Linked DNA regions of Neurospora crassa OR74A. The protein of the gene in region 2 interacts with the protein of the main gene of each other region in a pairwise test. Links are inferred from orthologs where the notes say so. Each region holds a gene or a part of one and is shown on either strand. Other genes may lie near its edges.

The links.
Region 1: the proteins of prd-6 (region 2) and NCU07839 interact in a two-hybrid assay, tested with the Saccharomyces cerevisiae proteins (2 studies listed by BioGRID). The link is inferred for Neurospora crassa OR74A from reciprocal best matches to the Saccharomyces cerevisiae genes NAM7 and DBP2.
Region 3: the proteins of prd-6 (region 2) and NCU05267 interact in a two-hybrid assay, tested with the Saccharomyces cerevisiae proteins (8 studies listed by BioGRID, with this or other methods). The link is inferred for Neurospora crassa OR74A from reciprocal best matches to the Saccharomyces cerevisiae genes NAM7 and NMD2.

Annotation. Positions count from the first base shown.
Region 1 is NC_026503.1:1,035,973-1,039,720, forward strand, and holds the start of NCU07839 (ATP-dependent RNA helicase dbp-2), read left to right. Parts: upstream 1-1,496; 5' UTR 1,497-2,200; coding exon 2,201-2,316; intron 2,317-2,454; coding exon 2,455-3,674; intron 3,675-3,748. Other genes in the region: NCU07838 (hypothetical protein), read left to right, coding at 604-779, 1,116-1,167. UniProt on the Saccharomyces cerevisiae protein: ATP-dependent RNA helicase involved nonsense-mediated mRNA decay and ribosome biogenesis through rRNA processing. Associates directly with chromatin, correlating with transcriptional activity.
Region 2 is NC_026505.1:5,330,407-5,334,154, forward strand, and holds the start of prd-6 (ATP-dependent helicase NAM7), read right to left. Parts: upstream 2,415-3,748; 5' UTR 1,895-2,414; intron 1,689-1,894; 5' UTR 1,660-1,688; coding exon 1-1,659. Other genes in the region: NCU04243 (U3 small nucleolar ribonucleoprotein IMP4), read left to right, coding at 2,836-2,841, 2,910-3,368, 3,432-3,748. UniProt on the Saccharomyces cerevisiae protein: RNA-dependent helicase required for nonsense-mediated decay (NMD) of aberrant mRNAs containing premature stop codons and modulates the expression level of normal mRNAs. Also capable of unwinding double-stranded DNA and translocating on single-stranded DNA.
Region 3 is NC_026504.1:5,535,232-5,538,979, forward strand, and holds the start of NCU05267 (nonsense-mediated mRNA decay factor), read right to left. Parts: upstream 2,277-3,748; 5' UTR 1,920-2,276; coding exon 1,901-1,919; intron 1,809-1,900; coding exon 1,764-1,808; intron 1,689-1,763; coding exon 1-1,688. UniProt on the Saccharomyces cerevisiae protein: Involved in nonsense-mediated decay of mRNAs containing premature stop codons. It interacts, via its C-terminus, with NAM7/UPF1.

The DNA.
Region 1 (3,748 bases), on a different chromosome or scaffold from region 2:
ACGCTCCAGTATTAATAGTGACTTTTCGCTGCCTTTATCAAATGCACAAACCTCAACTTGAACATGATATCGAGCACGTCTGACAGCGATGTGCAAGCCCAAGAGACTGGAGCCGGAGCCGGACTGAGACTCGGCAATGTTGTCACTCCGGATGCAGTTTCCAATGCCGGCAATGCAACCGATCGGGCGCCACCACCGCTCTCACCAGGAGACTATACAGTGTACAACCGACTAGACGAGCGAATGGACTACTTTGTCTGTGCTCATCCTTTCCTGCACTCTATTCCTCGATATCAGATTGAAGTACAATCACTGTCGCTCGGTGTGGAATACGCTCGACACAGCTTGTACCTGTGACAACGGTAGTCAAGGCACAGCAGCACTGACTGAGCGACAACCCATAGAATGCGGGCTCCGTCACTCGCTACCTAAAAGCTCACCAATCCATCAAAGACTTGCATGGTTTCCTTATAGCAAAGCAAATGCCTCAATTGAGAGCTGCCATCAAGGCCCATAATCGTCAACGTCGTCATCATTATCAGCAGCAGCATCAGCATCGTAAGCGAAACGGAAGAAGAGTATCAGGGGGGGCCAAAGGAGGACATGGAAGAAGCAGCGAACCATGATTTAATCCAGCAACACCGTACCATTCACTTGGGCATGGAGCAGTTCGAAAAGGACCTGAAGAATTGCAGGAGCAAAGAGAAAGCGTTTAGTCTGCTGGTGCTGGAGCGTTTGGATCAGGAGGTGGAGGAGTTGGGGCGGAGAGGAGAAGATGAGTAAGTTTTGGGAGTTTGGAGGGGACGGAGAGATTGCTGTTGTCCGAAAGAAACCAAGAGGGCAAGTCAGGGAAGGGGCTTGAAGGTCGTGAGTAGTGTAGTGATCGAAAAATGTTTCAGGACATGGAAGTGGTGGTTTGTGTTGAGAGAATGTGGCTGATGGTGGTGGACTAGACCAGGCGGTGGTGATGGATTTATTGCCACTCTTTGTGTACGCAGTAGTGTACATCCTGGTCGGCTGCGGAACGGACTGGAAGTTGCTGCTCCCAAAGTCTTCAGATGAGGTGGGAGATGGATGGCAATATGAGGCCTAAGTACGGCTGTATACACGTGTAGAAACATGCTAGCATCGAGCATGGACATGTATGTGAACAGGCAACTCCTATAGAATGTGGTCAAGATTACAGATTCTCTTTTCCGTTCCCTGACAGCTGAGGTGAGCGACGACGGATGATTGCCCAACAACCGCGACGCGCAGCAAAGACTGCCAAGCATAATCCGCCAGTGAAGCAAGAACGAGAACCCTTCTGGCAAAGCGGAGTCGGTGAACCAGGTGACGCCAATTCCCGCAAAGGTGGACTTCTGCCTGATTGATAAGGCCACACATGCCTTATCGGCGCTTTATCTGTGCTTATCTGTGCTTGTCAACAGTGAAAGAATGCAGGCCCGCCAAGTGTTGCCAGTCGGGTCCAGTTTTTTTTTTCTCTGGTGCCAGACCGCCCCTACATGGAAGTCTGGGGGACAGGTACGGCAATGCCCGGTCCCCTCAAATCCGCCTTCGCTGTAACGACTGCAGTGAACTGAAGGGAAGGGAAGAAAAAAAAAATATTTTTCTGGGGCACTTGCACGCAAGGGACGCGTTGCGCCTTCCGCCTCCAACAAAAAGAAAGACTTTTTCTTCCCGCTTGGAGGCGAGTCGGGTCTGGCACAGGATCCGCATCTCACATCCACTAGCACTGCACAGCGGAACCCACCAATCCTCCATCGACATCTCCCTTTGGTCAGGTTCTTTTCCCATACTAACCTTACGTGACGGGTCCTTGTCCAGTGCCCCCAGAGTTTTTTTCGTTTCGACTTCCGTCCAGAAAAACTTGCACTTCACCCTTCGCAGCAGCCCTTTTCTTCCTTCCTTCCACCCACCCTCCATCTCCAATATCCCTTCCCGCCTACTTCTTGCGATTCTGCAAGATTCTTCATCCGCGATCCTTCTTTAACCAGTCGGACTGCTTACTTGTAACCACTTCACGCGTGTCGTTTGGTTCTTGTCTCTAGACGTCTGTCTTTTCCGACGTCTTCTTTTCCCGACAATCGATACCCTTGCGCCTCTAGGCCTTGTTTGCTCGTCGTTTCGGTCTACCCTTCAGCAACCCCAATAACAACCGATCTTCAATTTTCAACCTTTTCTTAAACAACCAGCAAACATGTCCGGATCTTACGGCGGCGGCGGCTACGGTGGCCGCGGTGGCGGTGGTGGTGGATATTCTAACGGGTACGATCGCAATGGCGGCGGCTACTCTAACAACTACTCCTCACACGGGTATGATGTTTTAGCGCGAACCTGCTCATTTCCTCTCTCTCTCTCTCTCTCTCTCTCTCTCTCTCTCTCTCTCTCTCTCTCTCTCTCTCTCTCTCTCTTTGCATTTCAAGATCAAATTGCTAACATCTGGTTCAACAGTGGCTCGAATGGCTACGGAGGCGGCGGCGGAGGATATGGCGGCGGTGGTGGTGGCTACGGAGGCGGCGGCTACGGTGGTGGTGGCGGCGGTGATAGGATGTCTGCTCTCGGTGCTGGTCTGCAGAAGCAGAACTGGGACATGAGCGCTCTTCCCAAGTTCGAGAAGTCCTTCTACCAAGAGCATCCTAGCGTCGCCAACCGATCTCCTGCTGAGGTCGACAAGTTCCGCGCAGACCACTCCATTGCCGTCTTCGGTAACAACGTTCCCAAGCCTGTCGAGACCTTCGACGAGGCTGGTTTCCCTCGCTACGTTATGGACGAGGTCAAGGCTCAGGGTTTCCCTGCTCCTACTGCCATTCAGTCGCAGGGCTGGCCCATGGCCCTTTCTGGTCGCGATGTCGTCGGTATTGCCGAGACCGGTTCCGGAAAGACGCTCACCTACTGCCTTCCCGCCATCGTTCACATCAACGCTCAGCCTCTCCTCGCTCCCGGCGATGGCCCTATCGTCCTCATCCTCGCCCCTACCCGTGAGTTGGCTGTCCAGATTCAGCAAGAAATCTCCAAGTTCGGCAAGTCGTCCCGCATTCGCAACACCTGCGTCTACGGTGGTGTCCCCAAGGGTCCCCAGATTCGCGATCTTTCCAGGGGAGTCGAGGTCTGTATCGCCACCCCCGGCCGTTTGATCGATATGCTCGAGTCTGGCAAGACCAACCTCCGTCGTGTCACCTACCTTGTCCTCGATGAGGCTGATCGCATGTTGGACATGGGTTTCGAGCCCCAAATTCGCAAGATCATCGGCCAGATTCGCCCTGATCGTCAGACTCTCATGTGGTCTGCTACCTGGCCCAAGGAGGTCCGCAACTTGGCCGCCGACTTCTTGACCGACTTCATCCAGGTCAACATCGGTTCCATGGATTTGGCTGCCAACCACCGTATCACCCAGATCGTCGAGGTTGTTTCCGAGTCCGAGAAGCGTGATCGCATGATCAAGCATCTTGAGAAGATTATGGAGGGCCGCGAGAACCAGAACAAGATCCTCATCTTCACCGGCACCAAGCGTGTCGCCGACGACATCACCCGCTTCCTCCGCCAGGACGGCTGGCCCGCTCTTTCCATCCACGGCGACAAGCAACAGAACGAGCGTGACTGGGTTTTGGACCAGTTCAAGACTGGCAAGAGCCCTATCATGGTTGCCACCGACGTGGCTTCTCGTGGTATCGGTATGTATCCATCTTACCCCTCCGCCCTGCCCAAACCCCTCCCCCCTTCTTCTCTCCCCCATCTCAGGCGACTT
Region 2 (3,748 bases):
ATTCATGCGAACTTGCTCGTGGAGAGCCAGGAAACTGACGGAGGACTCGACATCCTCACGGGACTTGGCGGTCAAGCGAACGACCTTCAGGCCGGTTCTGTGGATCCTCTCACAGAGCTGGTCCACAGCAACGTTGGATGGGGCGCAAACAAGAACTTGGCTGTTGCTCATCTTGGCAAGATGGTAGATGATGGTGGCCGAAGTGACGGTCTTGCCAGTTCCCGGAGGACCCTGGATAAGGCTCAGAGGGTTGGACAAGACCTGCTTGATGGCGGCAATTTGGCTGGCATTGAGCTCAGGGAGACCGGGAACGTGGAACTTCTTGGGCATCGTAATCTTTGTCGGGGCAACCTGGACTTCGTGTCCCAGCAGCTTGTGGAAGATGTAACCAGAAACACTCATCTCGTCGACGGCAAAGGTCTTCATGGCCAGCTGCATGCGGTCATAGGAAGTCGCTTTCCACACATAGTCGGCCGAGAAATTGTGTGTGCATTCCGTGGGGACAGACTTGTCATTGGCTGACTTGCGAAGTTCCACCTCAACCTCGTCGGACTGGTTGTTGGGAATCTTGATAACATATCCAACACCCTCCCAAGGCGGGCGCAGCTCTCCCTTGTACTTGAGACGCATCTCATCGCCAACGGCCAGCTTAACGTCACCGGACTCGATCTTGGGAAGGATGAAGCTGGCGACGTGTTTACTATTGAGACCCAGATGCCAGCGGACTTGAAGGCCATCCTCAGACTGGGCCTCCTTCAGCTTTTTGTCGTAGTCGGATTCCATCTTGACGAGAGGGCCGAAGATGTTCTGATAATGATAAGGGTCGTCGTACTTGAGCAAGACCGGGTGAGGATCATCATCGACTCCGGCAGTCTTTTCGAGGTCGGCAACAGTCGCGTTCGGTGCCTCCTTCCACATTTCCTCGAGCTTGGCAATCATGGGCGGCGTGAGATGGCGAGCACGAAGCTGCTCAGCATCCGTGGGAGGGGTGACGAGCCAGTTGAGGAAAGCCCTGTCTTCGATCAAGGGTTGCCACCTGGATATATCCCAGCTCATATCCTTGGTCGACGTACTAGCACCACACGGCTGGCGGCAGAGGAGGACCACAACCGTGTCTGACTTGGCAGGGATGAAACCGAGGATGAAGACATTCTTGGTGCCGCAGTTGTAACATTCGAGGACGGTATCGCCGAGGGAGGACTCGGGGTGAAGTTGAACTTCCTTGTGACGGGCGCGAACAAGGTGGTTGACGATATGGGACGAGAAGGCGCTTCCTTTGGCGCTGCAGAACCACTTGTTACAGGTAAGGCACTTGACGACGCTAGAGGGCGAGTGGATGCCACAGTAGGCACAGGCGTGGGGAGGCAGTTCCTTCTCCTCCACGGGGGCATCCAGCTTGAGGCTCTTCATGCCGTCGACTGGAACGCTGGCCAAACTCTCGTCATCATCGTCATCAAGGACCTCGGTCTCGTTGTCGTCGTCATCGTGGCGGCGTCTACCATTGCCGCGGGGACCACGTCCACCGTAGACACCGTAGAGGAGGTTCTCATCGGGATCGATATTGGACAGTTCGTCGGAGCCACCGGCCTTGATGGCAGCAGCAGAGTCGGAAACCAAGTGGTTTCCAAGGTGTGTGAAGGACACCTCCATGTTGGCCATGATGGCGAGTGGGTTGACGGAGGTAAACTCTGGAGCACCAGCAGCTGGTCAGTAAGTGTCTGGGAGGGAAATTCGCAACAGTAACGTAGGGTCAGGCAGGTATCGTTGGGGAACGAGATAAGTAAGGTACTGTTGGTATACGCCGCGGTCCAGCCTGTAGCTGTTGAGCGGGCTGTTGGGGAGGGATGTGTATTTCAGTGTTTACATGAACATGACACGCAAACAAGCGGCGTACCTTGAAGAGTTCACACCCGGAAGTTTTGTCGAAAGGTAAAAGGTGTGGCTGTCGTATTGCGGGTTGTCGCAATGCGGGACTATGGAAAGATGTAGATTATGGGCTTGGACGTCGTCTAAAAGGTCACATCATCGCATAACGGATTGGATCGGCGAGCGGGCTGTGTTGCGCGCGGGGGCTTTCGAAACGACGACACTGCCAGAACGTCGAGGTGCTGATGCAGAGTGAGACCACTGATCGGCTCGCTTAAGGTTGTTCTTGGTGTTGTGAAGCAAATGGTTTGGTTGCCGCCGTTCAAGGTCACGGTTGTTGTTTGCTTGGGGGAATTTTGCCGGTGGCCGACTTCCGTTCAGTTTGTGTTGGCGGACGGGTCACGGTTGCGGTTCAGGTTGGAGGTTCGTCGTTCCCTTGTTTGATATCCGACGGCCTTCTATCAGCAGCCTCCAGTTCTGGGCTCAGCTGTTTGAGAAGCACGGGCAGTCATAGCGCCTGAAACTGCCCTGTATTCTAGAAAGCGGGCAGCAAGTAGGTAGGTAGGTACTGGGAAACCGGCACAAGCTGCAGCGAAGGGAGCCAGGGTACCTAAGGTGGCGTTGAACCGGGCGACCCAGGCGCGATCTCTTTCCCGGCAGGCGCAAATCGACGGGACCTAAGCCAATAGGTATCCGCCAAGCTGAAAAGATCCGTGCACCTCGCGCTTAGTCCCATTCGATTGTAACTTTTTTCGACTTTTTTCTCTGTGAACACCCCTGTCGTCACCAACCACTCCGCCCTCCACTAGTATCGACCCGGAACATCTGAATTTCTGCCAGTCTTCGCAGCCTTAATTCTTATCGACAACCTCATTACTACCACTTTCGACAACACGACTCTGAGAGCTCGGCGCGATCCCTTCCACCGAATCACTTATTACCGTCTGATAAGCGTGTCAACACAACAAGATGATTGTAAGTGTCCCTGTCTACTCGTCATCTTCTCCAAGTTTCTCAATGTCCATGACTAACATCTGCAATAGAGAAAGCAAGCTCGCCAAAGGCGGGACTACCTTTACCGAAGAGCCCTCCTGCTCAAGGAGGCCGAGGTTGCAGAGAAGCGCGCCAAGCTGAGGTCTGCCCTGGCCTCGGGCAAGCCACTCGACCCCGAGATTGCGAAGGACAAGGAATTGCGAAAGGACTTCGACTACGATGTTTCGAGGGATGTGAACGGAGACGCCATCGATATCGACGACGAATACTCGGAGTTGTCGGGTGTCATTGACCCCAGAATCTTGGTTACGACAAGTCGCGATCCCTCCAGCAGACTCGGCCAGTTCAGCAAGGAAATCCGTCTCCTACTACCCACCAGTGTTCGGCTGAACCGTGGTAACCTCGTTTTGGAAGACCTTGTTGGCGCCGCCAAGGCGCAAAACTTGACGGATGTTGTTTTGCTACACGAGCACCGTGGTGTCCCTACCGCCATGACCATTTCCCATTTCGTACGTTGTCCCTCCAGGCATGTTGTTGTACTTGCAAAACGCATTTTCTAATCCTTGCTATAGCCCCATGGCCCGACGCTCATGGTCTCCCTCCACAACGTCGTTCTCCGCGCCGATATTCCCAAGTCGATAAAGGGCACAGTCAGCGAAAGCTACCCCAGGCTAATTTTCGAGGGCTTCAGCACCAAACTCGGTGAGCGAGTGGTCAAGATCCTCAAGCACCTCTTCCCTCCCCGCGAGCCGACACAGAAACCCAACGTCGGCAACAGAGTCATAACATTTGTCAACAACGACGATACGATTGAGGTCAGGCACCACGTCTATGTCCGCACCTCGTACGACTCGGTCGAGCTCAGTGAGGTTGGACCCCGGTTTACGAT
Region 3 (3,748 bases), on a different chromosome or scaffold from region 2:
AACGTGCTCCGGAACAATGCCAAATTTGGTCAGCTCAGCCAGGTAGCGAATGTTGCTCAGCCTGACCTGCCCAAGAAACTCCTTTTCCTTGCGCCGCTGAAGACTACGGAACTCATTGTCGAGGTAGTCAACGAGGCCCTTGGGGATATCGGGCATGTATTGACCAAGCGTGGCAACGAGCCTAGCCCAGTTCGGGAGGAGATCGGTACGTCCCTTGGGCACATCGGTCAAGGCCTTGATGAGCCGGTTGCGAGACGCCTTCGAATTGAGGAAGCAGAAGTCGATAGCCATCTGGTCAATGGCGTCTTTGCTGATGAGCTCAGGAAGGCGCACAAGCAGGGCGTCAACCTGAGCGCCAATTGTCTTGTTCGCAATAGCAATAGACTGGTCATCGGCGGCAGCAGCCTCGGCCGCCTTGGCAGCTTCCGCGGCTTCAACAGGGTCAATCTTCCTGCCCACCTGTTCGTCATCTGCTTTCTTCTTCTTAACTTCTTCAAGCAGAATGCCAGGGACCTTGCCCTTCAGATCAACCAAGTTTTCGTAGAAGCGACGCTCTTCCTCGTCCTCCCAGATTCCGGGCCCCTCACCCTGTCCACGGAGGTACTCACCAGCCTTGACCAGGCCGATTGTGCCGTTCGCGGCGTTGCCCTCATCAGTATCCTTCAACTCGGGCATCTCCGCGCCAATGATATCGGCAATAACCTGCGCATTGGCCACGAGACGTTCTTGGGCCTTGACCTGCTTCTCAAAGTTTGACTGGCGATCCTCAAAGACCTCTCCCGACTTGACATAGGCCTCCGCATTCTTGCGCGATTGGTTGTAGATAGCCTTTTGGTCCCGAACAAGGTGGCCCTTGACGTCCTCAAAGTAGCGCTTGAGGATATTCTTGAAGCGCTCCTGCAACTCAGGAGGGGCAAAGGGACCGTCCTGATCCGCGCCGGCACCTTCCTCCTTGTCTTCGGATCCGTCGCCTTCGGTCTCCTCGGCGCCCTTGGTAGCGCCATCCTCCTCCACGGTTTTACGACCATCTTGGCCCGCAGCCTTGATGCCCAAGATATCCCAACTGAAAGCCTTGACAAAGATGACGAGCAAGGGGAGGTTGGCGTGGTCTCGATCGTGATTCAAGAGATCCTTCAGAACTTCGAGTGGAAAGGGCTCGGCACCGCCTCCCTTGCCGGAAGAAGACCGCGGCTTCGGCTCGGCTCTGGCTCCCGTGGTCGGTCTCGTAGCGTCGTCGGGGCGAGCAATATCGTCCAGGGTCCGCAGAACATCAACAAGCCAGAGCTCGGTCACGACGCGGAGGAGAACGCGCTGTCGAACCAAGCGGTCTTTTTCTTCCTTCTCTCTCGCCTCGGGGGTAAGGGTCTTGAGGAAACTCTTATCAGGAGTGGCCATGCCCTTGCCCAGAAGCCAGCCCAAGTGTTCGGTAAAGTCGGCGGGTCCGAATCGCTGGTGCAGGGCGCTGACGATCTCGACGCCGGCCTCGATGTCTCCGGGAGACTTGAGCTTGCAGAGGCCCTCGTAGCATGCTGAGATGATTTCGGAAAGGTATTTGGAGAGGCTGACGGTGCGGATCTCCTGGAGGAAGGTGCTCTGGGTGGCGGCGGAGATGGTGGTTCGGAGACGCTTGATAAAAGCAGTGTTTTTCTTTAGGGTAGAGTCGAGGGACTTGCTGACGGGAAAGAGATCTGTTGGAAGTGAAGAGCGTGAGCAATGGGCCGACTGGTTATCGGGGGGGCGCAATAGAAGCTCGTAAATCGTACCTTTCTCGCCGTTCCAAGCCCTCGAGTTCAGCGCCCGCAGCTCACCTACGAATTGTTAGCCCAACAAAAGCCAAAGAGCCAAGTTACAGCCCCAAGTGAACAGAAAAGCGGGAAGAGAGGAAGGACTGCAAACTCACGCCGTCTTTGGCGATCCATACTGGGCGATGAGAATCAATGGTATGAACACAGAGCAGTGGCATGCACTGGTGGATATGCTAAGGGTTGAGAAATCGGTAGCGGCAATCCCCATCAGCAATGGTAGACATCGGTGACGTGATACGGCAGGGGAGCAACGGAGCAGGCCACTGAAGGCTCTCGGACCTGGACGAGCTCAACGACGGATGACCGAGAGGCGGCGGCGGTGGTGGTGGTGGTGGTGGTGGTGGTGGTGGTGGTGGTATTGGTGCTTGTTTCGGCGGCCAGAGTTGCGGCTTTTCTTCCGTCAAGGTGTCTGGTCTGTAGTATCATTCGAAGCAACCCGGGGGCGGCGTCACGGACGGTGGAAGGGAGAACGCGGTTCGGTTGTCGATCAAAAGTGATGAATGGATGGCCGGACGAGGTGCCTGTCCGTGGGCCAAGCGGGTTCTTCAGCACGCTTGAGTTCGTTGAGTTCCTTGGTTCCAGGTTCCATTGTCAGTGGGGGGGGGGGTTCCATGGGGCATCAGGTCCCCTAGGGCAGTCCATGCTAACTTGACCACCCTACAGGCCGATATCTGAGTCAATTCACCAGTGATGATTCCCGCGGCATCAGGGGGACGCCCTCGCCATTCATTGGGCGCCTTAACGCGCTTTAGCGCCTGCGCCCCGCGACCACAGCGGGTGCCTTAACAGCAGCACCCCACAGTGCAGGCTACCTACCTACCCCCAATTCCCCGACTGGAGCCGCCATTACACTACAGCAATTCAATGACATAGAGGTGGCCAGGGCAGACAGCCACGGGAATTGGAACCAAGGATGGAAGATCTACACCTCTACCAGTACCTCTAGGCTTTGCCTGGTAGGGCAGCGCAAGACAGGGCTGGGCAGCTTGTTTGTTTGTTTGTCTTGTTTACCCAACGGTTGATCTTATCATTGACCCCTTTTCTGATCTGATTTGATCGAGAGTTCGTTGGCTTCCCTTGAGCTCCAGTCGCTTCCATCTGTGCCCCTGAGTACAGTGAGTGGATGGACATACAAAAACCACATCTTCACACAAACAGACCACTGCTATAGCCTTGACCAAGACGTGAAAACTGTTTGAATTGCAACGCCAAACTACCTCATTTCGCTGGGTATCTAGAGATTCTCTTTTGTTTCTTTTGTTATTTCCTTGTCTGCCACCAACTCTCTTCTTCACATCTCATCCCACCACCCAGGACGTTTACCAAAACGTAATCTTTCATCCACCAAATGACTTTAAAGCTTCGCACCTACTCCTTCTCTTACTCTGTTCCATATAAGCCCTCCTGCGGACTCTCGCTCTGTCAACCCGCATGACAATCATAGAACAACTAGGAGCGGAAGCAATTTTGATCGTGCCATGTCAGTCAGGACAGACGGATCCAAGGGATAAGACTTCCGCTTCAAAAGCCAAAACGCTAGGTGGTATTTGATATACGATAGACATAAAAACGGAAAGGACGTAAGACAGATAGATACGAACCAAGAAACGCAAGGATATAGTAATACTAAAACGGAAACAACAACAACAAAAAAAGGTCGGAACAAACTTTCGTGCGTGCAAAAACTCAAAGTGGTATCTTTGTAGAGGTATCTTTCCCGTGTGCGCGGCCGTCATCCTGTCACATAACCATCGTCCCACATGATGGCCATTTTGGTCTTCCCTCATCTGACGTGAAATAAAGAGGCAAAGAGATTACTGTTTGCAAAACCCGTGTTCCCCATCAATTTGCGGAGGCCCGGTTTCCCGTAAAGGCGAGACGGTCTCATGATTTTACCCACCCCGGTAAAAACAGCGCGTGATCATCTCGTTTCGCAAAAAAAG